Notamacropus eugenii: one gene and its partners. The protein of the gene in region 2 purifies or fractionates together with the protein of the main gene of each other region. This does not show direct contact. Links are inferred from orthologs where the notes say so. Each region holds a gene or a part of one and is shown on either strand. Other genes may lie near its edges.

What was found.
Region 1: the proteins of RPRD1B (region 2) and PDRG1 purify together in Homo sapiens (affinity purification with mass spectrometry; 3 studies listed by BioGRID and IntAct, with this or other methods). This does not show direct contact. The link is inferred for Notamacropus eugenii from reciprocal best matches to the Homo sapiens genes RPRD1B and PDRG1.
Region 3: the proteins of RPRD1B (region 2) and POLR2F purify together in Homo sapiens (affinity purification with mass spectrometry; 4 studies listed by BioGRID and IntAct, counting the BioPlex papers as one, with this or other methods). This does not show direct contact. The link is inferred for Notamacropus eugenii from reciprocal best matches to the Homo sapiens genes RPRD1B and POLR2F.

What each region holds. Positions count from the first base shown.
Region 1 is NC_092872.1:431,256,455-431,267,034, reverse strand, and holds the start of PDRG1 (p53 and DNA damage-regulated protein 1), read right to left. Parts: upstream 5,426-10,580; 5' UTR 5,291-5,425; coding exon 5,162-5,290; intron 4,946-5,161; coding exon 4,870-4,945; intron 3,616-4,869; coding exon 3,541-3,615; intron 1,644-3,540; coding exon 1,563-1,643; intron 913-1,562; coding exon 830-912; 3' UTR 1-829. UniProt on the Homo sapiens protein: May play a role in chaperone-mediated protein folding.
Region 2 is NC_092872.1:428,751,220-428,761,799, reverse strand, and holds the start of RPRD1B (regulation of nuclear pre-mRNA domain-containing protein 1B), read right to left. Parts: upstream 5,874-10,580; 5' UTR 5,438-5,873; coding exon 5,287-5,437; intron 5,135-5,286; exon of another isoform or gene 5,093-5,134; intron 1,470-5,092; coding exon 1,340-1,469; intron 1-1,339. UniProt on the Homo sapiens protein: Interacts with phosphorylated C-terminal heptapeptide repeat domain (CTD) of the largest RNA polymerase II subunit POLR2A, and participates in dephosphorylation of the CTD by RPAP2. Transcriptional regulator which enhances expression of CCND1.
Region 3 is NC_092874.1:295,434,614-295,445,193, forward strand, and holds the start of POLR2F (DNA-directed RNA polymerases I, II, and III subunit RPABC2), read left to right. Parts: upstream 1-4,289; 5' UTR 4,290-4,632; coding exon 4,633-4,652; intron 4,653-5,314; coding exon 5,315-5,384; intron 5,385-6,060; coding exon 6,061-6,191; intron 6,192-10,580. Other genes in the region: C3H22orf23 (UPF0193 protein EVG1), read right to left, coding at 85-225, 819-995, 2,710-2,772, 2,871-2,979, 3,815-3,874. UniProt on the Homo sapiens protein: DNA-dependent RNA polymerase catalyzes the transcription of DNA into RNA using the four ribonucleoside triphosphates as substrates.

The DNA of each region.
Region 1 (10,580 bases), about 2.5 Mb from region 2:
GGACACTATCATCAAGAAATGTTCAATAAGTTGCCCCTAAGCCCTACAATTACCGAAGGAACAACTGCTGGGAAATTTCCCTTTGCCTAAGAGAGGTTTAGGAGACAAAGTCTCAGTCTGATCTACAAGATATTAACAGGAGTCCATTAAAAGCTCTAATGTAATCAGAACTCAAGGACTGAAAAGAGGGAGTTGTGTTGGAAAATGTGAGCTCTGTCTTCAGCACTCATTGCATGAGCTGTGTGGTGAACCACAAACAGAGAAAGTTTCCTGTCTATCACAAACCACCATTGAGCTTTGCTGTTCTATTCCTGTTATAAACTCTCCATCACCATCCTACCAAGTCTCTCTTCTCCACCCTTTCCCTACAGCCAGGGCAGGGAAGGGAGGGGTTATGCTGGAATGAAGTGCTCACTCTCTCCCACTCCCTTCCCTAGTCCTAGAACAATAGTCAAACTGTGGGTCTGAGGCAAAGGAAAAATGCACCCTGCCAGACAGCAGGACATTGTTGGAAGTGCCTGTGGCAGTCATTCTAATGCTCCCACTGCTGCTGCCCCAGCCTCTCATCTTGGATCTTCTCCAAGGACTATCAATAGGCTTTGTGTTTCAGCCCACCCTGGTGGTGTCCTGGGTGGATAATAATAGGCTGTAGGTTCCTGGCCTTAATAGAGCAGCCAAATCCTATAAACAAAAGTCTTCAGTAGCAAACTGCTATCTGATCTGTGAAGCTAGTTCCTACTATATCCTATCGCCACGGTTGTGAAGCAGTTCTGTGGGCATCTACGGGTCAATGGTTTAAGTCCTCATGCTGGTTCTTGGTTGCCACACCTCATCCTTTCAAGATGACATTAAGGGCTCTCATCTCCTCTTGGCTCAGGGGCTTCAAGTTAAATCCTTTCAACTCTGGTTTACCTAGAGGGAGAATCAAGTCAATGGGTCAGAGAAATATAAGAATGATGTGGAGGAGGTACAGGCTGGTCCCATCACATTCTAGCTGAGAGAGCTTCCTTGGCTTCTACACACTACCATGGGAAGGACTAATAGGATCATAAGAAAAGCTAAGCAAAAACAGTTTTGTGCTAACTAAGCAACAATGATTCCCTCACTTCTCTTGGGTTTGGAAAGACTCTTGAGGGTTCCGAGAGTTTTATTTCCCCATTTATCTCAGGGGCTTTCCTGCCCACTGATATACTTCAATTGCTGCCATGGAAGAGGAATCAGTTTTGGTTTCACCCAAAATCATAAAGATCTCCCATGGGTGATACCTGCCTTTCCCCTCTCTTAGACTCAATTTTTGTCATGAGCTAATTCAATGCGACCAAAGTGAGTAATAACAAATTGGAAAGCACAGGTGAGGAAACTTTCAATGGGTCTAGATTACTGTTGTAGATAAAGAGTTCAGAATGGCCCAGGCCCTTGGCACATGCCAGTCCACTGTGCCCCTCTTCTTCACTCTTTGGATGCCTACATTTACTTGTTTTACCCCAGCCTCTGAGATCCATGCTAACCTGGGACTCAGGTTTTGGCTTTTCTCACTTTTCAGTCCCCACGAATGAACCTACCTTGGGCTTCCAAGAGACGGCTGACCTTCCTTTTCAACTGTTTCCGGAGTTTCTCTATCTCCTCATCCAGGTGCTCCTGATCTGAAAACAAACAAAAAAAAACAACAGCAGCTAACATTTTTCAGACCATTTTGCGGTTTTGAAAGCACTTTCTTTCCAAATCCTATGAAGTGGGTAGTGCAAGTAGCATTATTTTTATTTCATAAAGGAAGAAACTGAAGCTAGGAGAGCAAATGACTTCTCCACAGTCACAGAGCTACTGGCAACGTCAAGACTCATTCCAGGTGTCCTGGCAAGCCATGCGTTCTCTCCACACAATACCACCACACTGCCTGTCAACAGAAGGATCTGGAGGAGTGGGAATGAGAGTTCTATTATGCTCTACCAAGGTCCCAAAGAATAGCAGAAAAAAGGCAGTTGTGTTTAGGGTGGGAGAGGCAGCCTAATGTTGAAACCAGGCTGATGAAGCTTACTGTTGTCTGAGAGGAAGAGGAGGGGTTAGTTGAGGCTAAGAATGTGTGAACCATAATGCAAGCTGGGCTGAAAGGAGGAAGTCATAGACTTATTAAACAAAGCCTGCATACAAACTGCTAGGTGACCACAGGTAAGTGACTTTCCTTGAAGACTCCACCTTTGAAAAACAAATGAGTTGGACTAGACAGTCTCTAAAATTGCTTGCAATCTGACATTTCTATGATTCTTATAACCTGATGTCAAGAGCTTCCCATTAACAAAGAATTATAGAACACGTCTAGGTACTACATACCATCTAGCCAAAGAAACTGACTGTCCAAAGAGAATGCCTCGCTGGAAATGTTTAATTGTCTAATGAGTGGCACAGATTAATGACTCAGCAAATGGAAGGATGCAGGAGTCAGGACTCAAGTTCAACCTTTAAGAATGTATATAATTTATGAAGACCAATGAGATGAGGAAGATGCTTGTAAGCAAAGGTAACAGCAAGATCAAACACACAGAAATGAGAAAGCATGGAGTGGCGTGCCAGACGGAAAGTGAAGAGATGGTCTGGCTAGAATAAAGAGGTAGTATACAGTAAGAGAGGCTTGGTCAGACTGTGGAATTTCTTTTCTGGGGCAGGATACCAAGAACTGTCAATTACTTTGTTTTCAAATCATACCATTCTACTCTGATTAATTTTGATTCCACAGGGATCAGACATTTGGGGCTGGAGGGGACATCAGAGGCCACCTAGTCCATCTTGAAAAGGGGGAAATTTAGTCCCAGCAAAGTTGTGTCTTGCCCAAGATCACACAGACGACAACGTCTTTTTACAAATTCAGGCAGAAGTAGGACTTGAACCCAGATTCTGACCGCCCAGCCAGTGCTCCTTCCATTGTACCAGGATGGTGGGATGTTCAATTCCTTCTTCCCCAGTGAAGGATATAGATCCTGGTTTTGTCTTTCAGCACTGATGCCCCACAACCCCTTTCCCTCCAAAAAAACTGACCCCAAGAAGAAGGTTTTAGGGGCTGACTTTTTAAAAAAAAAATTGTAATCACTGTGTTTATCATTTTACTATTTCTGCTTACTCCACTCTGCATCAATTCAAATGTTATGTTCCCTTTCTCTGAATTCCTCATACTTGTTTCTTACAACCATTCCTTAATCAGCACATACTCACTGTTTCAAGTTTTTTGCTACTATAAAAAGTGTAGCTGTGAATAATTTGGGATATATGTGTATATATATGTATATATGTATATATATATACACACATCTATGCATATTTATGTGTATACACAAGCATGCACACACACACACACATACACCCCGCCTTTCTGTCTTTGACTTCTTTGAGGTATATGCCCCAAAGTTAAAACTCCAGGTCAAAGACTATCAAACTTTTGAAACTCAGACTTTGTGATCAATTTGAATTAAAACCTGAGCCTAAATGCTATGTAAAATTTGATTTAGGAGGTGAAGCTGGTGTTCACAGTACAGTTTTCGGGCTCCTTACCTTTCTCAATCATATCCTTTGTCCGTGGTCGAGGAAGTTTGATGAACATGTTTCCAAAGCAAACCATCACTTTATCTGAAACAGTAAATAGTGCATGGTCAGCTTGATAAATCAGCAAGTATTTACTAAGCGCCTACTATGTGCCAGGCACTGTGGGACACAAATACTAAAAATGAAACAATTCCTACTCTTGAAACGCTTACATTCTAATGGAGGAAACCACAGGTATATATGTGGCATATCAAGAGATACAAATACATTTAAAGTAGTTTGGGAGGGAGGACGCTAGAAGCTGTTGGGGGATGTGGAGAATCAAAAAAGGCTCTTACAAAGATAAGGAGACAAGCCAGAATAAGGGCACTAGTCGTACCCCTCACTGAGGCCAGTATCTTTGGGGCTAATGCCAAATTTAGCTAGTGATACTCAAGGACTCTTGAAGCAGAGTTTTTAGTGGATTTGGAAGTCAGAAAGACAGGGCCTCACATCCTTCCTCATCCTTACTGTCTGACCCTGCTCAGTCCCAATTTCCTCATCTATAAAACAGGGATACTAGTATTTATCTCACAAGGTTATTGTAAGAATTGGATAAGATAACATGTAGGGCACTTCACAAATCCTCAAGCGCTATATGTCCACTATTACGAGTATTCTCTGTAAGACTTCATGTATCCATAATTCCCTAAGGAAGGTGCTAGAATTTAAGACCTAGTTTGGCCAAAAAGAAAGAAAGAAAGAAAATGGAGATCTCTAACCACTTCTGTACACTCATGTTTTTAAAAAATAAAATACCGAAAAAAGCCCCACAACCCTATCTTACTATACAGGAAAGTAATGTCAAACAAACAAAAAAAAAGGAATTTATATCCATGTCCCCAAAGGCATTTACTGTATATAGTGTTCTGGACCCAATATGTAAGTGATGTGAATTCTGGATGTAAATATTCCATCTGATTTGGTTTTCTTCGTCTTTCCCTCCCCTCTTGGCTCTACTGCTGTGATGTAGAATAAAAGACGTTTAACTGATACTGACCCTAAAAGAAAAAAGTCACAGTAAATCCAGTCTTGCTGACACTCAACATTCCTAAAAGTTAGAGAACACCAGTTCCACCGAAGCTGCCGTTTCCAAGCACAGTCTTCTAGGGCGCAGGGTCAGTGCTCGGAACCCAAAGCTGGGCCAGAGGCCGAATGTTCCCCACAAGCGGCGCAGGGGAGGAAGCACCCCAGCATGGGCAGGCGGCTCTACGTGGACTCCAGGGTCACCCCTGGAAGGGCGTGCAGAGGCCGGGGAGTGACCCGCATGACCCCAGACCCCGCTCGCCCCCAACTCACCCGACTGGCTGGGGTCTCTCTGAAGGGCCCTCAGGGCTTCCCGGTTCTGGTTCCTTTTCAAGTCCAGGTCCACTATCTAGGAGAAAGCCAGACGTCAGGGTGGGGCCGAGAGGGGGGAGGGGATCAGAGGCGCAATCTTGGCCCGTTCCTCCCCCCCATCCTCCGCCCCCGGGCCTCAGTTTCCTTCTTTGTGCAAGGACCAGGCTCAAAGTCGGGGAAAGGAAAAAATGGAGGAGTACGGAGAGCAGGAATCTGAGAGCGCGTTCTCCTCGCTCCTGGGCCCTTGGCGAACCTGCTGCTTGTCGGCCAGCACCTCCTCAGCCAGCTCCTCTACCTCCCCCAGGTAGAGCAACACACGTTCGGCTTCCGCCCCCAACATGACTCCGGCAATGGTGCGGTTCGGCAGTCTCCCTGTGCGCATGCGCCAGCCACGCAGGCACGCTACGTAGTCGCACGCGGCCGCCGGCGCGCGCGGGGCACGTAGGTCAGGACGCACGCCCGGGGGCGGGGCGGGGGAAATGAAGGGGAGGACGGCCTCTGGGGCCACGTGACGACGCCTTCTGGGCCCGCGGGAGTTGGGCGGGGACGCACGTGTGCTGGTACTTTGGCGCCTCCGTCCGGTGGAGCTCAGGCTTTGCTCTGGAAGTCCTCAAGTCCGAAAGTGACAGCTGCGAGAAGGGTCACCTTCTCCCGCACGCCCAGGACTCGGGGCGAGTCCTACGGTGGGGAGAGTGGAGTGAATCTCACACCGTGTCCTCCCCTCCCCCCGCCCTTTCCTCCTCCTCTTCATCATGGGTCCTGCTCGGTGGAGCTTGGGGCAGGTGCATGGTGCAGGTGTGGACGGACTTTCCAGAAGCCTAGGTCAGGCTCTCCCTGCTTAGGTCCACAGCTATGGCCCTGACCTAGAAGGGAAGAGCTACCTGTGGACTGGAGGAGTCAAAAGAACGTTTTCAGGAAGAAGCTAGATGATGATCATTACAGGATCTATATGACCCTGGAAAAGTTCCTTCTCTGTAAAATGACGTGATTCAGATTCAAAAATTTTAACTAAACACACTTTATTATGTTATAAAAAAACTCTAGCTTTCACTGCTTTAGGAATTTTCTGGTGCAAATAATTTGGTATGTTGAAAGAAAAGGAATTGCTCTAAGAACAATAATATTTTTATCAGGGAGGCAAAATTACAGTCTTTGACCTTCAACATATATTATTCTTATCCTCAGCAGATGTAACAAGGGGGTCCTCTCTAAAACTTGGGTTTTCTGGCCCTAAACTAGGACTAATAAGTATATATAAGTTTGAAAGAGACAGATTTGGGCTTCATCCCTAGTGGTGGTATGGGCTTGGTGTACACTTGGTGCTGCAGAAGGAATATTATTCCACAGCCCCTTTTTCTACTCTCTGAAAACTTCAGAAAAACAGGCTATCAATGAATTCATTTGCTAATTAATTAGCCTTGGCAGCTAGGTGGTGCAGTGGATGGAGTCCTGGGTCTAGAATTAGGAAGACTCATCTTCATGAGTTCAAATCTGACCTCAGACACTTCCTAGCTACATGACCCTGGGCAAGTCATTTAACCCTATTTGTCTCAGTTTCTTCATCTGTAAAATAAGCTGGAGAAGGAAATGGCAAACCAACCATTTTCTTTACCAAGAAAGCCCCAACTGGGGTCATGAAGAGTCAGATGTGACTGAAAAACAATTGAATAACAATAAAATTAATTAACCTACAAGGGAATATGGCCACAGGTGGCTCAACTCTGGGTCTACCAGCCAAGTTACTCTGTATTCATGCACCACCTTCCCAAAAGGCTCCCTCCACCCTCCAGGCTATTCAGCCTATAAACTCATAACACTGAGCCTCATGGAGCTATGCCATTTCATGATACCTTGAATTTATCATTGAACTTCATATGGCTCAAGGTGTATAATATAGAATATATTTCAGCATTACTAAACTAGAAAATCAGTCATCTATCCTTTAAAACCTTCAGCCCACATTTGAAAATTTTACTTTTCACCAATTGTCTTCATTTATAAGACTTAGATGATTGAGTTTCTAGTGATTACATGATTTATTAAAACAACTTTATGTAAAGGTTACTACCTTCAGATCTTTGCCATGATCACCACAGGTCTTTAGGATCAATCTCATTTCTTTTGTTAACACACACACAAAAAAAAAGGTTTAGGGATAGGGCTGAGCAATCCTACACACACACTTTATCCTGCTTTCTCATAACTTGTGCAGTTTCATTCAGAGGGGCAGCTAGGTGGTGCAGTGGATAGAGCACACCAGTGCAGGAGTCAGGAGGACCTGTGTTCAAATCTCACCTCAGACACTTGACACTCACTAGCTGTGTGACCTTGAGCAAGTCACTTACCCCCAATTGCCTCATCCTGGGTCATCTCCAGTCATCCTGATGAATATCTGGTCACTGGATTCAGATGGCTCTGGAGGAGAAGTGAGGCTGGTGACCTGCACAGCCCTCCCTCACTCAAAACAAAGTCAAGTGCAAGTCATGTCATTATTTCTCTGATGGCATGGTCTTCTTCGGCAAGGAAGGACAAACACACGCAGTTTCGTTCTGGTCCCAAACCAAGATTGTCATTATAAATATTTAAGTACGTTTAAGCAAAAACTTTCTAACAATTTCAAGTACTAGTTGGCTTAGATGGCCTTTGTGGCTCTGTCCAACACCAAGATTCTTAAATTCTGTGTAGCCCCTTCTCTGGGAGCTAATCCTCATCCTGAAGGTTGCAGATTAGACCCCAGAGTAGGAGAGGGACTGGATGCTCCCAGGTTTCAAGGATATCCTATGAGTCTACAATCCTAAAACTTTAGTTCACAAACCGCCAGGCATCCTCTTAACAATTAACTCAAAGCAAAAAACACTTACAGAAGATGGCATAGTAAAAACAGTAGGTTCAAAACATTCCTTCCATAAGCCTGGAATATGCATTCCCACAAATACACACAGTGGGAAGAGTGAGTACAAACTTATGAATATAATGGCAGTGAGTCCCACACGTAGGAAACACAGGAAAACAAGGCAACTCCCACGGCTATTACTGTAGGACCTTGATTTCCTTTCTCTCCTTGTGCTGTTCCTCTTAGCAGTATCTCTGCTGGACAGGTCACCTAGATGTGCTCCCAGGGTCTGTTTTTCTCACCAGCTTGATTCTTGATTGCCAGGCTAGTCCATAGCCAGGTTTTTTTCTTTGCTCCCAGAGGTTCTGCCCACAACTTACTTCTGACATAAGTTCCTCAACTAGACTCCTTCCCTGAGTCTGTGTTTTTCTGAAGACTGTGTGTCTCTCATGTGTGTCCCTGTTAGATGCATTTCAACTATATCTTGAACTCTCACATTAACTCTGAAACTGTTTTTAAGGGTGATCCAGGACAGGACCAATCTCTTGCCCACATAACGTCCAAATTCTAATTCAATCAAGGACATTTTTCACACTTTATAAAAGGGCCTTCTCCTTTTTTTGGGAGATTCTTACTTTCTTATATTTTGGAGGTGTACTGGTCAACAACCAGTTTCAACTCTCAGCCCTTCCCCTATCTATAAATCCAAATTTTTTCTACTGAAAATCCTGCTTATACATATCACACATATCCCATCTGTTGTCAAGCCTTGTCCCTTTCTCTCCACTCACACAGCTGCCAGCTTGGTACAGACCCTCATCACCTTATGACTAGACTAATGCAATCAACTTTTCATCATTCTCCCTGCCTCAAATCTATCCTCCACTCAGTGGCCAAATCATTTTCCTAAAGTACAGGTTGATCTTGGCTCTCTATTACCTTCAGGATCCAATAAAAAATGCTTTATGACCTTCCCCCCTTACCTTTCAATCTTCTTAAACTTTATTCCCCTTTCTGTATTCTACAACCCAGCCACAATTATCTATTTGCTCATCTTCATAGGGGATTCTCCATTTTCTGATTCTGATTCTTTCCCCATGTCTGGAATACTCTTCCTTCCTTACTTCTCCTAGATTCTCTGGCCTCCTTCAAGACTCAGCTTATATCCCACCTTCTACTTTCGCTGTCTGTCTCCCCCTGCCCCTCATTTTGTTAGTGCCTGGCCTCCGAGATGGCCTTCCACTTACACTGTATGTATCTTATACGTACATAGTTAATTGCATGCTCTCTCCCCCATTAGCATGTGAGCTCCTTGAGGCCAGGGACCATGTTTTTTTTTTCTTTCTTTGTATTCCCAGTGCTTAGCATAGTGCCTGACACATAACTGGTACTTAACAAATGCTTGTTGACAAAGTGACTACGACCACATGGTGTCAGATTGGGTGAAGAGGGATGAGGAGAGATGATAGTTTGTGGAGTAATTTAGAGGTCCCTCATCTCTAGAATGAGTGAATTAGAGTAAGGTACAAGGGATTTTAGAGTTCTGAATTCTACCCTCTTTCCCCCCACTTCAGAAATTGATCGGACATATTAGACTAATTTGTAAACTCAGAGCTGTCTTTGACTCTTCCATCTTTCTTGCCTTTCTCCCATACCCAGTTAAATTGTCAAAGGGTTTTTGGAGACTATCTAGCCTAAACCCTATACAGATGAAGAAGTTGAGGCTTAAAGGGATATAGTGATTTTTCCAAAATCACACAGAACCCAGGTACAAGGCCAGTGTGTACCACTACATCATGCATTTAGAACTTGGTAGTATTGTAAAAGTGGCTGATTGGAATTGTGTGTGTGTGTGTGTGTGTGTGTGTGTGTGCATGTGTGTGTATTTTCTTTGTATATGTAACATGAAAATATATACATCAACAACATGCTTGTTGTTCAGTCATTTTCAGTTGTGTATGACTTCATGATCCCATTTGGGGTTTTCTTGGCAAAGACACTGGAGTGGTTTGCCATTTCCTTCTCCAGCTTATTTTACAGATGAGGAAACTGAGGCAAACAGGGTTAAGTGTCCAGGGTCACACAGCTAGTAAGTGTCTGAGGCTAGATTTAAATTCAGGTCTTTCTGACTCCAGACCTGGCACTCTAACCATTGCACCACCTATTAAAGAAAATGCACATATGTAAATAGATAGTTGTATAGATATGTATATGTATATTTTTGTCCCAATGATTCCTTTTTCATCACTGGTCTTAAATTCTCAAGATTGATCCAGTTTCTCCTCTTTTAATTTTTTTGTCCTAGTGACTCCTTGTCCACCTTAAATTCTTAAGACAGACAATTGCCCTGCTTCCCCATTGTTTGACATAAAGCTAAAAGCTCATAGATTAAGCTCCTCCCTCTCATCTTGGACCTGGGCAGATCATAGGACCATAGCTACAGAAGTGGCAAGAACCTCAGAGGCCATCAAACTCAATTCCCTCAGTTTATAGAAGAGGAAATTGAGTCTTGGAGAGATTAATTTGCAACAAGATCACATAGATGTTTGCTGTCTTTTCAGATGTAAGCACAAGGACTGCTACTTTTGTTCTAGAAGAGAAAAACTACTTAGACAGATATAACATTATATATATAAAAAATTATATATGTGTATATATATATACACACATATACATCTACACATATATATATACATACACATATACCTGTGTGTATGTATATATATGTGCATGTGTATGTATATGTGTGTATGTATATGGTTGGTTGGTTGTTGTCCTTCATCTTCGAAGAGGACCAAAATGACATCACCATTGTAAAGTGAAATTTCAGTGTGTCTGA
Region 2 (10,580 bases):
ATATGTGTCAATTTCTCAAGATGAAAATTTTCATTCAGTTCCAAATTTCCTGGCTCCCCTTTATTTCTGGTATATTCCATAACTATAGACTAGCATTTATAGATTCAATCAAATTATTCCTAGATACAAAGTATCTTATGGTATTTTTACCTCCAGAATCAAATATAAAGTCTTTTGTTGACATTTAAAGCTCTTCATAGCCTGGACCCTTTCTACCTTTTTTTCAGCCTTTTTATTTTACTATCTTCCATGCACTCTGAGGTCCAGAGGTATCAGCCTCTTTGTTCCTACATGATTCTCTATCTCCCATTTTCTACCTAGAATGTTCTTTCTCAAGTCTACCTCTTAAAGATTCCCAGGCTTTCTTCAAAATACAGTTCAAAAACCACTATCTGCAGGAGGTCTAATTCCCTCCCCCCAGCTGCTGGAACCTTCTCTCTGTAAGTTTACTTTTCATCTATTCTACATGTATTTTATATGTAGGTATTTTTAATATATTGTTCCCCATTAGAATATAATTTTTTTTCCTTTCTTTGTAACTCCACTGCTTGGCAAACTTCCTGGTATATAGTAAGAACTTAATAAACACTTGTCAGTTTCTTGTGACAAACTTTTTTTAATCACATTTAAAATCATTCAGGCTGTCATTTACATCACTACATGGAACCTACTATGGTAGGTCTTCAGCAAAAACAAATAGGAAAGGTTTAGCAAGACACTAGAGAGCCAATATAGATTTTGCACATTAGTAATTATTGCTTTTGCTATTATGAAAACAAGTCTTATCTTTAGTTGAAAGAAAAACAGAGGGAAAACTTTGTTTCCTGGAAACAGAGCATGTAGGCAAAAATGGAGATACAATTTATTTCTTTTTATTAGGGCACCATCACCTAAAATTCCTCTTAATATAAAGACTGATATAAGTCAAAGGACTATCACTTTGGGTTCTTATCTTTAAGAGACAGGAAGTTTGTTCAGTCACTTTTAAGAAAATTTAAACTAAATATGCTATTTACCATATTATTGATCACAAGCTAAAAAGACAACTCAATAAAATCCAAGTGAAATATGACTCTGAGAAAAGTATTAGGATAAGTTGTTACATAATTGGGGTAAAGAGTATCCTTAGTAAGAGTATCCCTTATGTGTTATGAATTGAACTCTCATAATGTAACAAAATGTTTATATAGTTGTGAGAGCTTTTAAGGATTTAGCTTGAGGGAAGACCATTAATTTGGCCTCTTTAGCAAAATATCCTGAGAAAAGTATTTAATTTTCAAGTGGTAGAAGGTTTCATACAAAGTAAGAAAAGAATTAAAGAAAAAAGCCGACAACATACCTGGCAACATGGGAAAAAGCATCCACGAGGACAGATTCAAATTCCCTAGTGAATTCAGGCCCCTTCCTCTTACTGTTTTGGATGACATCATTTGCTAAGTATAAAAACGTAAGCTTTCTATTTGATTTGGCTGAAAGAAGAAAAGAAAATACTTTAACTGACATTCTAACTATGGTACTTATCATTTCATGGTCAGTTTCTTGCCAAAGTCTACTTACTATATAACAGATTACAAACACATCTTTGTTAGAGGTCAAGGACTATGTATTTAACAAACTCCATGGAATATAGCAAAAAATGCACTTACGACCTTAATATTTTTACCAAAACTGGCCTAAAACTAATATAAAAAGAAATAACTGTCAATTTCTTCATGAAATAAATTCATCTGTCAAATACACAAAGTTAAAAATACTATCTTAAGAAAATGAAAAGTTAAGAATTCAAAATCCAATAGCATATGGCAAGACAAAACATTTAATTCTGTGAATATACTGCAAGAATGAACATTTCTATCTGTTGTTGTTAATTACTGTATGTTCCCGGAAGAAAGAAACTAAATCGGAACCTGTTCTTACTTAAAAATCATTCTTTGTTATCCATGAACCAACAGCTAAGTTTTTTTTCCTAAACATTTTTAGCCATCAGTCCTTCAAGGTAGCTGATTCTGTAATCCAAGAGAAACCTCTAAGTGATATATTCTTTATTTCAAATGCAAAAATATACTAATGCTATGTTACTAGATTATTACTTAAAATTTACACACATGAAGTCAGGAAAATAAAAATTATGACTCCCACAAAACCCTTGATTTTTTTTTTATACATAGTAGATTTAGTATTTCTTATTACTCTATATGGTGTCATATATTAAACCATAAAAACTTCATGCAGTATGTCTGAGTTACAGTTGCTTTGGGGAACATTACTGAATTTCCTGGTTTCCATGCACATAACTTCCCAACCATAAAGTTGTATCACCAATTTCTGGTGAAGGTTTTTTTTTTTAAAGGAATAAATAAAAGTATAATCAGATATCTGAACACACTAAGTTTTCTTCAATGCCAAAGTATTTGAACTCAAATGTATTATATTTCAACCTTTACCCACCTTACAAACTAGTCTTTGCTCCATTTTTCTTCCCCTTTTGAAAGGCACATAGCATGTATCACTCAACAGTTATTAGGTAACAGTTTCAAATGTAGCTATTTAGAATAATTGAAGTTTAAATTTGGGGCTTTTAAATAACATAATAGTTTAAACATTTCCCCAACTGCTCATATAAATATATCTGCCCTCAATTCCAAAACTATCGAGTAACAAGTCAGAACAACAAATAAGCAATTTAATACTCTAAAGGTACTTTAACAGTTTTAATAACTGGTCAAAAACAAAAGTGGATTCAATAATTTCTCCTATATCTCATTACTGGGAGAAAGGTATAAATACCATAGAAGCTATTTCTTTTCATATATCTGTTCTGGAAAGCTGGAAAAATCTGTAAATGCCAACTCTGCATTGATATCAATCAATAATGAATTAAAAAATAACAAGATAGCCAATTCTCCTTAAATAAAGGTTTATATATTTCATATCCTTATGTTCAAAAACCCAGAATCCAAATAACAAGAAAACAATTTGGACACTGCAGAACAGCACCATGGCAAAGTGGAACGGGTTGCATTTGGAATAAGATCTGGGTTCAAATTTCAATTCTGTCATGTACTGCCTTTGCAATCTTGGACAAGTCATTCAACCTCTCTGGACCTCCTTTGCAAAATCAGGGTGTTATGAGCAAGTGAACACTGAGTTCCCTTCAAGTTCTAACCCATGAATTGAAACTTTTCCAGCACTTGAAATTATGAGTTACGTAAGAAGACTATGGATAAGAAATTAAAGAGTTTAACTGCTAACAATGACAATAACTTTCATAATCCTTCTAGCCAAGCTATTACGATGTGTTTAGGATGAAACTCTCTTCCCTTCCTCAGGAAACATTCTGTGCCCCTAGCAAGGAGTCATCTGTATAAAGAGAAGTCTTGTCAGAGGAAAATATAGACCTTGGGAATTACTGGAACAGCAGGCGATTTTTTAAAAGCCCCAGATATACAGACAGCACACTACAAAGCTCTTATCCATTGTGACATTAAAAATTAAAGCTCTCTTCAAAAGGCAAAGGTTGATCATTTAAGACCATTCTCTTCCTCTCTCTTCCACCCTTTAACCCCACTCTCCCAATCAGTTCATTTGATTGTTGGACACAGACAAAAACTTACTGACTTTCTTTTGAGGTCCTGAGAACAACCTTTAAGTTACCCACTTTATAGGCAATACCATATTTCCTTTTTAAAGAAATTGTTTCTTCAAAAGCAGTTTAGGCAAACTACAGTATAGAGATGACTTCATAAGCCAAAAAAAAAAAAATGAGGTTGAAAGAGAAAAATAGGAGTGTGCACTAGGTAAACAGAAATATTTCTGGCAATGAAAATGCACTAATTTTGGCCAAGGTAATTTTAAGTACTTCAGAGGTATTTTACAAGGAAACAAATTTGAAGACCTCTGAAACATACACTTCTAGCTAATAAAAGGTGGAGAAGAACACGGAGAAGCAGCATCAAAAGCTATCACAGAACTCCTACTGATGGTTCAAATTTTGGGGAAGGCACAGTAACTTATACATAGCAGTAGCTATAAAATTTTTGCTGATGTGAACTAGCTCAACTCTAACCAAAAAGTCTGAGGCACCAAAGACTTAACTTTAGCTACTTCCAGTAGTACCTCAAGGAGAACATATGCCCGTAGGCTCCTTCCTCAACCCAGCAAAAAGATCCTGGATATTCAAAGAGTAGAGAAAGAAAAACAGGGCAGATAGATCAGAATGAGATTCCTCCCTCCCAAAGGAGGCATTTGAGCTTCTTCAGCAACCTTGCAGTGGTAACTCGGTGACCTGCCCAAAGGAAAAACTTGCAGAAAGAGGAGGACTTGAAAGAAAAAAGGACATGGAAGCAGTCGTGGGGAGGAGTGCCTGGGTGAAGTGTTGGGGACTCAGGTGGGGAGGGCTGTGTGGAGTGGTGAATGACCGAGGCGGTTGTGGAGGTGGGCTGGATGCTAAATAGTCATCAGGAGTGTGCACGGAGAGTGGGGAGCTAGTCTGGAAGGTTGGGATGGAAAAACAGAGGTAGCGGTGGCCTGGAGAGAGATGGGTAGGGACCTGGTGGTTTGGGGGCTGGTCAGGAGGGATGCACGGAGAGCCGGGAGCTATTCAGACGAGGGGAGGGTAAAGTGGGGGAACATGGAGAGCTAGGGGCCTGACACAAACACACAGAGAGGGATGCATGGAGGACTGGGGAGCTGGACAGACAGAAAAGGAAGGGCCTTTAGGGTTACAGTACTCGGCACAGAAAAGGTGTTCGATCCATCATCTGTCCAGACAGAAGCAGAGCGGGGAGGGGGGCTGAGGACGGAGGTAGGAGAGGTCTGCGAGCTCCTCCAGCATGAGGGCTCCCTTTTACCTTTCTGGGACTCCTGAGCGCTAGGGCAGGGGCAGGCACAGACCTGTGGCTTACATGTTGGGCTGACAAGTCGGGGAGGGGCGGACAGAAGCACATGGCGGAATGGGGAACTGGACAGAGAGAAGGGGGGTGCGCTGAAAGGTTACCCCTACCCCTTAACGCAGTGCCTGAGCCATAGGAGGTTTGAAATGCCTGCTCCCAGCTCCTACGGAGATGGGGGAGGCGGGGGTCAGGGAAGATGAGATTGGAGGATGGGAGAACCGCACGGACAGACGTGTTTGGGGGTAAGCACTGCGCCTGACACAATCGGCGCTTAATACACGGGTTCGGATCGCGGCGGGGGTGGCAGGGGGCGGGACAGAAGCACACGGGGTGCTGCGGGGCTCGATACACAGCCCGGGAGGCGGGGGCCGGGGAGCCCCGGCGGGATACGCACCTTTGCGGAGCTCGCGGTGCCACACTGAGACGATGGGCCCCGCGTGTTTGCGGTGGTGGATCAGCCACAGAGACAACGTCTGGACGCTCTGCTGGGAGTTACTCAGCTCGGAGAGTTTCTTTTCGAGCGCGGACTCGGAGAAAGAGGACATGGTGGCGGGAGGGAAGGAGGACTGGAGGGCTTCCGGGCGGCGTGGAGCGGGAGGCGGCAGCCGATGGACACGAGGCCCGGGACGATACCTAGTCCGAGACCGAGCAGCAGACTGACTTGTCACGCCAGGCCAAGAGCCTGAGGGGCCGAGGCCTGAGGGGCGGCCGAGTCTCCTCGGTAACAGCCGCCTCCGCCGCCGCCACAAGATGGCCACCTGACCTCTCACCCCACCGCGAGGGAGGGCAAAGGGCAAGGGCCGACGCGGAAGCAAGAGGGAAGCAGGGCGGGGGCGGGCGGACGACCGCTGAGCTTTACCTTCGGTAGACTCTCATATACCCTCCCAGAAGGCAGCCCAAAAGAGAAGATAGAGAAGGAGGTAGCAGGGGGAAGTTTAGGCCGGGCCCCCTGCGGAGTTCCCGGAAGGGGCGGGTACCGCTTTCTCGGCGCGCGAACTCACTGAGTCTAACTTGGTCCTTTTTTCCCGGCGTCCCGGGACCTTTCTCGTGCTTCGGCGCGCCGGCGTAAACGTCACTTCCGGGAAGGAGCGCGAGTGGTGGGAAAGGCTAGAAGAGAAGCAGGTAAGGGAAAGTGTGCGGAGCGGAGGAAGGAGTTTTCTCTCCGAAAGGAGAAGGAGGGCCCGATGAAGTGGAGAAAAAGAGGCTAGAAGGCCCGGAAGGGGAGGCCTAGGATAGAGATGTTTATTCTTCTGCCCGGCCCTATGCTCTGGGAATCCCGAGACCTGGATCCCAGCCCCCAACTCTTGCATGTGTAGGGAGCCGGCGCTCGTCTTAGCCTCGCTCAGCTGGGGTAAAGGGGGTGCGAATGTGAGCGGTTCCCTAATCTCCGCCTAGCCTGAAGGAAGGTAGTAATCCTTTGTTCGGAACCTTTCTTTGGGGTATTTCTCTCCTTAGAGTGTTTTACAAACGACCGCTTGTCTTCCGGGCCTACTTCTCTGTTTAAGTAGCTGAGGATGGGACTCGGAAGCAGTAAACATTTATTAAGCTCCGATACCAAAGGAGGCGAAAGACAGAAAGCTGCCTGCCCTTGAGGATTTTACTTCTAAGAAGAGCCACAACTTAGAAGTGAAATATATAAGATGGGAAACAGTAATACTTGCACTGCGCTTCTATAAGGAAAGTAAATCTTAGTCATAAGAGTTTTGCAAGTAGGTTTGCAAAGCGCTTTGCAAGTATCTTATTTGGTCCTCACCAGCCCCCTGGGAGGTAGGTGCTACTATTATCATCCCCATTTTCAGAGGCTGAGGTTAAGTGACCTGCCCAGGGTCACACAGTTAGTGAGTGTCTGAGGCTGGATTTGAACTCAGGTCATTCCTACTCCAGGCCCAGAACTCTAACCGCTGCGGCCCTGAGCGGCACCACATGCCATAATTAAAATGTATTATCCTCATTCCCATACCTTCTCTGCCACCTCAAATCTTCCAGTAATATCCCTTTCACTGTCGTCATAACTGACAATTATATAGCAATTCATAGTTTACAAAACACTTTACTCACAGCAGCTTTATTTTTTTTGTTTGTTTGATCCTCCAAACATCCCAGTTAGGAAGGTTGTGCAGGTATTATTTTTCCCCAATTTACAGATAGGGAAGCTGAGGCTCAGAAAAGGAAAACAACTTAACCCTGAGTCACACAGCTGAAAAGATAAAGAGCCCAGGTGTTTGTTATACTCTAAACACAGCCTTCTTTTCCAGGTAGCACACTTGTTTGCATCCTACCCTGCCCCACTCAGCATTAACCACTTGCACCTTCCCCCTCCTCTATCAGACAGATTGGTCTCCCTACCTAGAGCAGAGTCATTCCCATTTCTGTACCTTTGTTCATATGCTAGTGCTCCCACGGCAACACTATAGGTCTAGAGAGTTTTGTTTTTGTTGAGAGTGCTATACACTCTCAAAAGAATACTGGATTAAGAGGCAGAGGATTGTGGTTTTGAATCTTTGCCACTTTATATATTTGGTTTATTTGTTTAGTACTTTTTCAGTTGAGTTTTACTGTTCAGTGAGCTTACTTGGGGTTTTCTTGGTAAAGATCCTGGAGTGGTTTGTCATTTCCTTCTCCATCTCATTTTACAGATGAGGAAACAGGCAAACCAGGTTCAGTGACTTGCCCATGATCACACAACTAGTGAGTGTCTAAGGCTGGATTTGAACTTAGGAAGAGGAGTCTATCCATTCTATCCACTGTGCCATCTATCTACTCTGCCACTTATATTAACCATTTCATTTAATCTCTTTAGTTGTCTTTTTTTCTCATTCATAAAATTAAGAAATCTTGTGATTGCTGAATATCTGAGTTCTCTCTTTTCTAACTTTGGGGTCCATCTCAAATCTTACCTTTTCCATGAATCTTTTTCCTGTGGCTCTGACTTAGGGCAATATGAGTCTTCTAGCTCCATCACCCCACCAGAGCACTTTAATTTAGTTTTCAGATCAAACTTATCTAATCTATTTCTCAAATCTATTTCTCCTTTTAAATATATGACACTGTTTTGTTATATAGATGAAAGAGCTGTCATTTGTGCACTTAGGGGATGCTCACCAAATTAGTATTATTTTTGGCGCCAAAGACTTTCGTGAGCCATTTCAGTTCACCAAACATATATCACTGATTACATTTTACATGGCTTTGTTTCTTGTACATAGTTTGGGCCATGAATATGTCAGTGCTTAATTTAAGTCTGTTCAGAGATGATCAATGATGATCTTCATGGCCAAATCTAGTGTCCTTTTCTCAGTTCCCATCCTTCTTAATCTCTCTGCAACTTTAACATTATTGATCCTTCACTTCTCTTGAATACTTTCTCCTCTCTAGGTTTTCCCTCCTGTTCTTCTTACCTACCTTACCTCTTTTTCAACCTGCATCATTGATTGTTCATAGAGGTCATACCATCTAATTCTTAGTGTTTTCCAATACTGTTCTGGAGCCTCTTCTCCCAGTACATCTCACTTGGTGATCTCATAAGCTTTTCTCTATGTAGATGATTCTTAAATGCAGATCGTCTTCTGAACTCATCTTGCATCACTAACCCCCTCTTCAATATCTTGAGCTGGATGTTCTGTAGACATCCCAGATTCATTATGTCTACCTCCTCAAACCCTAACCTCCTTCCTCCCAGTGACCTAGGCTCACAGCCTCTGTGTCATCCTCAAGTCCTTTTTCACCTTTCTTCCACAGACCCAATCTATTGCCAAGTCTTATTATTTCTACCTTCACAGCGTCTCTCTTTTATGCCCTCTTTCCTCCATTCCCACGGCTAATACCCTGGAGAAGGCTGCCATCACCTGTTGCAATAGCCCTCTGGTTGGTCTTCCTGCCTCAAATCTCTCCCCACTCCAGTCTGTCCTCCGCTCATCTACCAAAATGGTCATCCTAAAGGGCAGTCCTGACCGTGTCACCTCTTTCCTCTAAATTCTAGTGGCTCCCTCTTATTTCCAAGATCAAATATAACATCCTCTTTTTGACTTTTAAAGCCCTTCACAATTTGACTCCTTCCTGCCTTTCCAGTCTTCTTACTCTTTACTCTCCTCCAGTACTCTATAATACTAGACACTAGTCTTATTGCTGTTCCATTCCCAGGACACACCATCTTCAGACTTTCTGCCTTTTCATTGTCTGGCTCCATCCCTAGAATGCTTTCCCCTCACCACCTCAATTTCTTCAAGACTCAGCTCAAATCCTTCTTTAAGACCTAACTCTCCCTTCTTTTGGCCTATTCTGCCTCCCAGGTTCCCATTTTCTCTCCCCCCTCCACATTACTAGTACCTTCCCTTTGGGATTACCTCCCATTTAAACAGTTTTTCCCCTTTTCTTCGTATCCCCAGTTCTTAGCACATAGGGAGCACTTAATAAATGCTGGTTGATTGAAATTAACAAGCATTCACTCAGTGCCTATTACCTACAAGGTAAAGGGATAAAAAGACACAAACGAAAGAGCAATTGACCTCAAGGATTGGGGAATGGAATTATAATGTATACAGGTGTAAATATAAGGTGATTTGAGGAAAGAGCAAGAAAAAAATACAAGTATGCCGGCATCAGAGAAGGCCTCAAGTAGGTAGTGATACCAAAATAAATTTAAAACTGAAGCAGAAATGGGAAGATGGCATATTCAAGGGTGGATACTTTATGCCAACATATTAAGGCAGGACTGGGAATGTCAAATTCCGTTTGGCTAGGTGTGAAGGAGGGTACTATGAATAAGACTACAAGAGTACGTTGGAGTCCAGGGCCAATGAATTTGTGCTTTATCCTAAGAGCAGGATAGCTAGATATGATTTAGCTGTACTTCATAAGATTGTAGTGATAGCTGTGTAAAAGATGAATTGAAGAGGGAGGAGACTGGGGGAGGGAGGGATGCCAATTGCCATAATAGTCTAGGCCGCATGTAATGAAGACCTAAACTAGGGTAGAGGTCAGGTATTGGAGAAAAAAGAGAATGGAGTGGAGGCAAGAGATATTATGAAGATCATATCCAATAAGACTTTGAATCTAAATGGATATAGAAGGTGAGAGAGGATAACTCCAAAGTTTGTAACTAGATGGAAATGCCCTTAGTAGAAATTCGAAAGTTTAGAGGAGAGAGAAGTTTGGTGGGCAAACATAATGAGTTCAGTTTTGGACATGATGCATTTAAAATGGGACATTAAGTTAGAGATATCCAGTTAGCTATGGAATATTGAAATTCAGAAGAAAGATTAGGATTGGCTATATAGATTTGGGGGCTATCTACAGAAAGATAACTGAACCCATAGTAGCCAATAAGATCACTAAGGGAGAAAGTCTATAGAGAGAATAGAATTGGGCCCAGGACAGAGTCTTGAAGCAGTGTCCCTGCTTAGGGGGAGAGATGGATGAAGGATACTGAAAAGTAGTCAGGATGGGAGGAAAAAGTGGAAAAAGCAGCATCCTGGGAGCCAAGAGAGTGTTCAGAAGGAGTGGATATTCAGCAGGGTCAGAAACTACAGAGAGAGAGGTCAAGAAGGAAGAACTCCAACAAAAGAATATTGAATTTAATACTTGAGATCATTGGTAATCTTGGGGAGAGTAATTTCATTTAAAAAGTTGACTGGGTCAGAAGTCCAATTCAAGTGGTTGGGGAGCAGGGAATAAGAACATAGGGATGGT
Region 3 (10,580 bases), on a different chromosome or scaffold from region 2:
AGATGGGCTGTGCCTTGCTTGAGGTGGCCCAGGAGCAAGGTTGGAATACCCTCGTGGGCCCCAGGCATACTCATAGTGCCTTACATTCTTCAAATCTATCTGGCTCCGGGTCTGAGGGCAGAAGCTCAGCCTGCCGAACAGATGGCTTCTTTTTCTTTTTCTCAATGCCTTCTTTCCCATTGGCAAATATGTTTTGGAGCCGCTCCTTCTCCTTCTCTATATCTCCTGCAGGATCCAAGTGTGAGAGATGGATGGGAGAATAGCACACATCCTTGGACTAAATGGGCATCCGTACCCAGGCTCCCTTGGGGCATCTTTCTCTCTGGAAGAAGGGGGGAGGCACAGATAGGGCAGTGAGTGGTGCCAAAGAGCCAGGTGATGCTTTGGTGATGTAGACAGGAGCAGAGCTTCACATGGGAGACCCACTCTCAGAACAAGGCTCAGGGAGGGAGGAAGGAAGGATGACTGACAGCCTCTGCCTTGCTGAGGTGAGGTGAGGAGGGAGGAGAGTTGCTCTGGCCTCACCTTCAGGCCCTGCTCATCTTACCACTGTATCCCAATAAATCTCCTTGGGACACATAAGTTTTGTGGATTTTGTTTTCCCCTTTCCCCTCCTGCGTCACTCATTCCAAAAGGCATTTGCTGCACATGTTGGAATGGGAGATCTTGCCCAGTTCTCTGGTTCATTTTAAGGAGAATCTTGCAAACTCAAGGAAATTGCCCTGTCTCAGTATCTGTCCTCAATTGTGCCCATGGCTAGGGCAGAGGTTGGCAGTGCCTCATCTCCTTATTCTGAAGCCCAGGGCTTCAAGACTTACGACAAGGTCTTGGCTTGAACTGGTCTCGGGTGTAGGCCTCAGTGGCCTGGCAGACTTCAGCAGGGCGGAGATGGGGCCTTGGGGCCAAGATGGGAGGCAGACACAGGCTGTTGATTCGTTTGGGCATTGGCTTCTGGCTAGATACTGGGTTGCAGTAAGAGGGCAGCGCTTCGCCTCCTGGGGAGAGACCAGAACAGAAAGAAGTCCAAGACCCAGGTACCAGGAGTCCTGCCTATGGCCAGCCACTTCCTAGCCTACTCCCCTGAGCCTCAGTTTCCCTATCTGTTCAACAGAGATGATTGACTTCCAGTGGCAGATATGCACCAGTGTAAAGTCCTGTCCAGGTCAGCAGAGGAGATGAGGCTGGGGGCAGGAGGAGGATGTGGAGGAAGGGCCAGGGAGCCCAAGGAATGATCTCTACTAAGGGTTTAGGAAGGGAGAGCATCCAGATGGAAAGATATGCAAGAATGCCCCCTGCCCCGGGGCCTTTGCTATTCCCCAGAGCCTCCAGCTAGCAGGCAGCTCCAAGACCCAAGTCATGGGCTTTTGCAGGGAGTCCCTGGAAGTAACACCCTTCTGCCTTGTAGAGTTCATTAAACTATGCAACTCCTTAATGCATTTAAACTGATGTCCATCCTGTTTAACTGTGTCCCTCTACTAGTTTGGAAGCTCCCAGAGGGCAGAGCTATGTAGACGTCTTTATATCCTGCTTCTAGCACCTAGGTTGGGAGCTTCTTTGAGCATGCCCTCCATAACTGTGGGCTGGAAGAATCAGGGACCCAGTGTCACTGAGCTTGAGCAGAGGGAAGGGGGGGATTCACAGATACCAAAGACAGACATCTATCATGACAAGACCATGAAGGAGCCTGGCCATCAAAGTCTGGTAAGGAAGGATGTCAGAAGTAGCAACTTTGGAGACAGAGGACCCCAACTCAGATCCTGGCTTCTTACTGGGGCTGGAATGGATGCTCCCAGAGGTCCCAACTCTACATCTGTAATCCTGGTAGTGGCACAGGACAGGAAGCAAGGCCTAGTGGGGTAGTTTGGGATAGTAACAACTGACATCCTGACTGGGTGACCCTCTCTGTGATTTCAACAGCTCCCTAAGGTTGCAGAGGAAGTAGAGGGAGTGTCCTCACCTGAGAAGTCTATCAAAGAAATTACAGGTCCAGTCCCTGTAAGGCTAGGGCCTTAGGAATGGTCCAGGTAATTGGTACCAATTGGTAAAGAGGAAGAAGAGAGACCAAGGCTACAGCCTAGGCTGGAAAAATTTTACTGAAAAGGTGGGATATGGATAGTCTTAAATTGGATAAGGGAAGTGGTACAAAGACTTGGGAGGTGAAGAGGAATGTCCATGGAATGTAAGGGGAGCCTATTTGGCTGTGGAGGAGAATTCCCCAGAGGGGGGCAGTGGGAAAAAAGTTTGGACAGTCAGGTTCAGGCCAGATTGTGGAGAACTGTCTTGGAATGGAATGTGTCCCACAGAATTCCAGAGTTGGATGACTTCTGAGGTCCAGTCCCATCTTCTCTCCCTTTTCAAGTTAACCCTCCTGCAACATTCAACAGAGGACCCATCTCCCATTTTACTGAAAAAGTTAAGGCCAACAGAAGTGAGCACCCTCAAGATTGCTCTCCCAAATGTCTCAGTTCAACTAGGCCAGTGATTTTCATGGAAGGAAGATGGAATCTGCACCATCCTCCCCAAAAGACCAAGACTAGTTTATAGATATGGAAAATGAGCCATACACAGATGACACATTACATCCCAAAGGAATCTCTAGACACTATGGGAGAAGTGCCTAATCAGCTATACAGCCATTACTGTGCCATTCTAGTTAAGGCGTGAGGAGAGTGTTGAAAGGGCAGGAGGAGGATCAAGGCTTCAAATTACTTTTCATCGAATCCATGAGCTGTCGCTGCTGGAAGCTGGTGAGTTTGGACTCCTCCATCATCACTGCAAAACAAGCAGGTGATATAAGAGCCACTGGGCTTCTAGCCCTCCTGGGGCCCTGTCCTGATCAGCCCTTCCTTCAGGGCTGTCCCTCCACTGACCTTTCAGCAGCTGACAGGTTTCTGGGGTGTAGCTGGATTGCCGTGAGTGCCAGAAGCCAGTACCTTTGGCCACAGCTCCTGATTTCCCCTTTGCTGCCATGGCAAAACCCTACAGGTGGAAAAGAAAGGTTTTTAGGACTAGCCTTCCCAGAATGTTGAGAGCTGAAGGGGATCTCTTCTAAGAAACAGGCTTGGGGAGAAGGATGACTTGTTTAAAATGAGCCATTGAGCAGTGAAGAGATTTCAGGTCTGGTGATGGGTGGAAGCAGGTCTTGGGAGAGGGCAATGCCATTAGCAGGGTCATTCTACGGACGGATGTGTGGTTCTGCTCAGCCTCGGAGGGCAGTCTGACAAACAGGAGTCATGGGTGCAGATTTAGGCTTGACGTCTAACAATTAGAGCTATTCAAAAAGGAGAAGGGTTCCCTCTCGCTGGAAATAGAAGGCTGGAGGATCGGGTGGGAGGAGACCATGGTGTCATTGGTCTAGAATGGGAAGAAGTCTCCCCCAAACGTGGACTTCTTGAAGACCTCCAGGGACAGGGAGCTCGCTACTTCCTAGGGCAGAAATCGTCCTGAGCAGGACACAGGGATGGGGGATTCCTAGAGGGGGGCCGGGGGGTGGCCTCGGTGGTCAGGAGGTCCTTGCAACTCTGGGCTTCTTCTGACCCCGAGCAGTCCAGCCTCAGCTCTACCCAGGCCAGGCCTGATGGGAATCATCTCCTGCCCTCCGGGGACGCCCGAGCGGGGGGCTCAGGCTGCACCGGCGGCGACGAGGAGAGGCGATCGCTGCGGCCGGCCCTCGGCGACACAAAGGGCGGAACTCGCCCCCTGTGGTGCTGGGACGATCGCGACAGGCCGCCCTTGTCGGGGAGGTGCCACGTGACAAGCCCCCCGCGGCCACCCGCCCTGGGCTTCCCCTCTCCCCCAGGGACGGGCTCCGGACCGCTCCGCTCTCCCCAACGGGTCCATGGGGCTCCGAGCAGCGGCCGCCTCCGGCTACCATGGCAACGGCTGCGAAGGCCCCGCCCTCAGCCCGGTCCGAGCTTCCCGGGCCCCTGGTCCCGCCTACGCTGCCATGGCAACCGCCCAGGCTCTAGGCTCCCCTCCCTCGCTTCAGGCTCCGCCCCTTCACGAACATTCTGGGCCCCGCCCCTGGCATCTCCTATGCATGGCCTAGCCATCTCCCCTCAAGCCCCGCCCCTTCCCCCAGCGCTTCCGTATCCGCCTCCGGCTCCTCTAGGCCCCGCCTCCAGGTCCTCTGTTCTGGCTCTCCCTCCCCTCCTGGTTCGGCTATGTCACTGCACCGGATCGGTCTCGGTCTCCTCTTCCCAAGAGCTCCCCACTCTGCTTCCGTCTCCGCCTCTGGCTACCGGGGGAACCGCCGCGCGCCCTGCTCGGGGCTATCCGGCTCCTCTTTGCCATGACAACGGCAGGCCCACGCCCCTTTTTGGCGTCAGGCTCCACCCCCTGCCCTCTCTCTGCCCTTCTTCGCCCCAAGAGCTCGAGGTTCCGCCCCTTGGCCTATTACCGGAACTTGCTCATATGCTAAGGTCACCGCGCAGGCGCAGGGAATTCTGGTAGGGCCGGTCCGGAAGTGGGTGCTGGAAGTCGTGAGTTTGGTCTCAGTGGCGCGAGCCCGAGCAGTGCAGGAGGCCAGACCGGGTGGCTTGGGCTCGTCGGGTTCCGTGAAGAAGGTTCTGCTGGGAGACAGCTCTTCCTGGCCAAGGCGGCCACTGGGCCCGAGCCCAAGGCTCCGCAGGCATGTCTGACAACGAGGACAAGTGAGTGCGGAGAAGGGGCAGATAGAGCGGCCCGAGGATGGGGGGAGGGGAGGGGGATGGAAGGAGGGGGATGGAAGGGAGACTGAGAAATGGGGGCTCAGCATTGGAAGGTAGGATGAAAAGAGGTGCAATCACAGAGGCATTATGGCCTAGGGTCAGAAAAGCCTGGCTTCGCGTCTTGTCCCGGATCCTGACCCCTAGATGATCTTGGGCAGGTCTCCCCCCGCCCCCCCACCCGCATTAGCACTGGCCTGTGCCCCTCCGATGTTGGACTCCGTGGCTTCTGGTGTGAGGCCTCTTTTGTCTCCTCTTGTAGAATGAGGGCAAGGACCGTCTGGTCTCTGTCTCTGTCTTCTTAGGTGCCTGGCGCACACACCCTGGCAGGTACTGGAGGATAGTGATGTGCACTTGGGGTATGAGTCTAGCACCTTGAGGATCCTGAAGCCACATGGGGACAGATAAGGCCCGGGGGGGGGGGGGGGGGGGGGAGGGGGCGGTCACTTCATCCAGCTCCCTCTTTTTACAGTGGGAGCTTCTCCACCTCCAAATGCAGCCTTCTTTTCCACTGCCCCAGCAGATCCAGGCTAGAATTGGGGGAGATGGGGGAGGGTATTTGGCCCTCTCCGAGCACCCAGGTTCACTGGTGCTTTCTTCCTGTACAGTTACGATGGTGATGACTTTGATGACGTGGAGGAAGATGAGGGTCTAGATGACTTGGAGAATCCTGAGGAGGTCTGTACTTCTCCCATGGCTCTTACTGCCACAGCACAACTGAGGCCAGGGCTGGGTGCCAGTCACCTGGGTGCCAATCACCTGGGTGCAGAGCATAGTATCGTTCTAGTTCATGGCTCTTCTTCTCACCTGGAACCCTGGAACCACAAAGGTCACTGAGCATAGAGTGGAACAGCCCCCCCCCCCCCCCCCCCGCCTCCCCCCCCCCACTGTAAACCAGCAGCCCTGTGTGCAGACAAGCCAGCTGCAGGCTTTTCATGCCATCCTTTGTCCTTGGCTGCTGGGGCTCTCAGTCCCTTCTTGCAGGTGAAGCGTCGTGGAAGGGACAGATCTAGGACAGAGTTACTTTGGAAGACCAGCCTCTTCCCTGGTTTCGGGATGTGGCAGCTGGCCGGGGGTTTCACGACAAGAAGTACATTTCCATTTGACCAGTCTTGTGGCCATTCAGTAAAATTTTGGTCTGGAAGCCAAAATCTTTTTAAGCTTTTCTTCCTCCAAACTTGTCACCTCTGTGGTTTATTCCACTTGGAAAATGGACTGAGCCCTCTGTTGGGGGTATTCGAAGTCTTACTTCCCCATGATCTCTGGTTGAAGTTGCCAGGAGCCTCTAGGTCTGAGCCTTTGACCTTTTACACCCACAAGGAAATTTCCCACTCTCCTCTCCCTCTTTTCCTAGGAGGGCCAGGAGAATGTGGAGATCCTTCCCTCTGGGGAACGGCAGCAGGCAAACCAGAAAAGGATCACCACCCCTTACATGACCAAGTACGAGCGAGCCCGGGTCCTGGGCACCCGGGCCCTGCAGATTGCGTAAGTAGAAATCCCCCTTTCCCTACTCATCCCCCACCCCACTCCCACCCCATTGACATCTCAGTTCAACTGACATTAAGAGTACAGGAGCTAAAATGAGTTTGAGAGTCAGGAAGCCTTGGCTTCAAATGCATCCCTCGTGGCCCTTGTCCAGCCCTGTTGCTTCTAGCTATGCTGTCCTCTCGATGACAACTGAGCTGTTAATGGGTTGCAATCTGCCTTTGTCAGAGGACTTTCTCCACTAAGGAGATCTTAGGAAATTGACACAGAGTTGAAGTCCAAAGTTTTGTTGTTGTTTAGTTGTTTCAGTCATGTCTGACTCTTCATGACTCCATTTGGGGTTTTCTTAGCAAAGGTACTGGAGCGGTTTGTCATTTCCTTCTCCAGTTCATTTGACAGATGAGAAAACTGAGGCAGATAGGAAAGTGACTTGCCCAGGGTCACACAGCTAGTAAGTGTCTAAGGTTGTACTCAGCCCTATGTTCTGTCCACTGCACCACCAACTGCCAAAGTCACCTAGAAGTCAAAGGCCCAGGGCTCACTTTGACTTGAAGTAAGTCATTTCATTTCTCTGGTCTCAGCTTCCTCATATGTTAAATGAGACTGGACAAGGTGACCTGAAAGGCCCCTCCCAGCTCTGAGTCTTTGATTCAGGGACATGTGCCTTCATGTCTCTAGTGCCCAGCATAGTGCTTCCACCTGCTAGGCCTGCAGCCTTGAGGCCATGTACTAGGCATTTAACAAATGGTTATTGAGTGAAGGGTTAATGAATGAAAAAAGCCTATGGTCTAAGTGAAACAAGTACACAGAGAACTGGTATAAATGATATTAGTGCATAGTAGAGATGCAAGGAAAAACCAGGAGGATAAATTGGTTGAGGAAGAGATGGCTTTCCCCTGGAAGGTTTCATTGGGGCCTGGAAGGAAGGTACTTCCTAAGGCAGGGGCGAGATGAGAATGAGGAACAAAGGGAAGTCTGTCTTTGTCAGAACCTAAGTGGTAGGAATGAATGAACGAATCAGTGAGTGAGGCATTTCCTAAGCTCTTCCTTTGCACAAATCACTGCTAAGCACCAGAGACACAGAATAGTCCCCCGTGCCCTCCAGGAGTTCACATCTTTGTGGAGGAAACAACATGGAGGGAAGGTTTCAGCTGCCTGTCAGATGGACGCTTCCCATCGGCGGCAGCAGCAGCAGAGTAGATGCCAAGCCTGTTTTTTTGTGTCATTGCCTCTGACAAAATCATCAGTTATTGATGTTGAATGCTTTGACAGCCTCAGACAGAAAAGAACTGTCTTTTCTGGGTGTTACGGAAGTGCCTGGGCATTGTTCTTGGGCACGTTCTGTTTGGCCTTTCTGTCAACCGTTTGGATGAAGGTGTGATTGTCAGATGTGTAGGTGACGTGGTTCTGGGAGGGACGACAGACATGTGGCTGAGTCTAACAAGATCAGATGGAGAGAAATTAGTTTTAACCCCCCCGTGTGGGTTCAAAATTGTCAGCTGAGGACGTTCAGACAAGAAGGGTGTGACTAGACCACATCACTTGAAAATATCGGGGGGCAGGAATGCTAGTAATTTCATGAGCATTAACAGTGTGATGATGTGGCTGCCAGAAGAGCCCAGAGGATTTGAGGATCTATCGAGGGAGGCGTAGCAGTCAGCCCAGGGGAGCAGATGGGGAGCAGATGAGCAGCCTCTGCCCAGGCCTGGTCCCATCTACAGGGTTGGTTTTGTGCTGAGGCTACGTTTTAGGAAGAATCTGACATCCTAGTGCTTCTTCAGCAGGTGCAGGACGGTCTGGTTGAAGGAACAGGGGCAAGGAAAACTTGGCGTAGGGGGAGGTATGTGATGCCTGTCCTCTGGTATCTGAAGAACCGATAGGGAGGAGGGGCCAGCTTCTCTGGGCTCAGAGGGCAGAAGGAAGAGTAAAAGAGATAGAGAGGCAGATTTTGACTTGATAAAATGATGCAACAGTGTGTGGGAGGTAGAGCACTGGAGGGTTCTCTGTGGGGTTTTGAACTGCTCCTGTGACTTTTGGGGCCCTTTAGACCTCTGTCAAATCAAGGGTCGGATGAGGGTCAGACTTCAGGGAACCTCTGGGGCCAGTTGCTCCATTTACGGAGGTGGTTCATCCCAAAGACTTGGCCAAGGTGACATGGGTAGTAATTGTTAGGCAGGATTCACACCCAAGTCCTCTGACTCATGAGCCCATAAAGCTGCATTTGTGCTTTCTGTGGAGGGAGAATTTTCTGTAGCAGTTTGATCCATCCCCAATAGAGGAGCCTGCCTTGGAGATACCGGGGTCTCCATTATAGGAGAATGCAGGTAGAGGCTCAGGTTACACTGGAAGACCTGCATTTCCCTCCATCTCTGAGATTGTCTGACATGCATGTGAAAGTAGGACTCTGAGCTGGGAAGGGTGGCATAGGCTTTGAGGCCTTCCTGTTAGTCAGGACTCTTCCTTTAAGGCCATTCTTGTGGACTTTCTAGGCTCCTTGAAGCCAGGACTTCAGTCCTAGATGCCTCTGTGTCCTGTCAGGCATCCAGCACGGGGCCCTTCTCAGGGAGAGTTCAAAAAGAGATCAATTGATCGATTGATGTTCTTGGCCATGGACTGAGCAAACTCAGTTTAAACTGACATTTAACTTGGGAATCAAAGTAGAAACAGGAGAATTATCCATGGGTTTGCTCCTTACCCCTTATTGAGGTTAACGGCTGCCTTGGAAGGGGTTTGGGCTGGTGGGCATGGGCTGCCGGCTCCAGCCTCGCCACCTGGCGGTCACTGCCAAGTAGGACAAATCAGCTCCTTCTCTAGCCTCGTGGTGTGCCACCTGGTGGTCACTGCCCTATGCTGCAGGCACTGTTAGGCCTTGGAGCTAGAAGTGAGCTTAGAGATCATTTCATTGTACCCTGTTGCAGAGTATGTACGTTGCCAAGTACGAGGGTTATTTTTTTTAAATAAAAAAATTCACAGTTGTAGGAAATGTTATCCTATAGGCCCTGTAGTGCCTCTAAATGAATTTTTATTTCGTGGATCCCCAGGTTCAAGACCTTTTTAAATAGTCTTCAGAATATACTGTGCACTTGTTTGTTAAGACTAAATCACCTGCTGAGAGGCTACTGGCACTGATTTTTAGAAATCCTACGTCTGGTGGAAATGAAGGCTTCAACTCTAGATCCCAGACTGAAAGGACAGAAACAGTTTTGCTTTTTTCCTGTTGAACGTTTCTCATATAAAAGCTTCATCACAAAACTCATTAGCCACACTTCATTTTGTTTGATCTAAATAAAGCCCAGAGTGAGTGGAGTCAGTATGAGTATGAACATGTGAGCCCCCTCCCCCACCAGTCTAGGAACCCCAGATCTTGCCCAGTCTACTACTTTTATGGGAAAACCAAGGCCTGTGGAAATGTCATGACTTGCCTGAGGTGCTCCAGGCAGAATTTTACATAATAGGGTATTAGAGTTAGCAGAGTGCTTGGTTTCTGGCTCAACCCCCCCATTTCACAGAAGAGGAGACTGAGACCCACAGGAAGAAATGACATTTCAAAGGTCACAAAGTTCATTAGTAACAGTCAGGATTGAAGGTGAGATCTTCTGAGACTAAATGAGAAACCATTTTGTAAAGTGCCTCCCAAATCATCCATTGCTCAATTAAGTGTCAGCCATTATCTTCCTTCCTATTACAGTTGCTCCTGGGCCAGGCTGTTTCATGGTATAACCTGCTTAGGCCAGAAAGGCTTAGCCCCTACCCTGCTGGAAAATCTGGCCAGTAGAGACAGGGAGGGGCATCTCCTTTTCCCAAGGGAACCCTAGTCTTTCATCCATCTCTCTTGGGGCCCCAGGACCTCTGCGGAGTTTAGTTGCCTTGTCTTTGCAGAGTTTAGTTGCCTTGTCTTTTCTCCCTCCATCAGCTCTACTGGGCTAATTGCATTGTCTGGCTCCCTTAGGGTCTGAAAGATGGTGCTTCCTCCAGCTACTAGGAGAGAGTCCAACTGGAGCAGCTGTCACAGAGGCCTCCTAGCTTATCAGCCCTGGAAGGAATGATATGAAACATTTAGTTAAATCCCCCTCATTTTCCTCAGGAGAAGTAGGGCCCAGACCTGGGGAGGAACTTACCTCAGGCCTTTGCCTCTTGGGTTTGCTCTCCAGAGTGACTGGATTGCTGTCCCCTGGGGTTGCTTCCAGCTGAGGTTTCCTCTGATCTTATGAAATGAGAGAGGAGGTGAGGACATCCACAGTCCACCCCTTCCCTGGGGTGAGAGAAGGAGCCCTGGCAGGACGGGCCACTGGGACAAGGGCTGATTGTATAGGACTCTGTGTGGCACCCGAGGGAACCAGACAACCTGGGTGACTGCAGGCAGGTGACTTCCTGTCTCCAGCCCAGGCT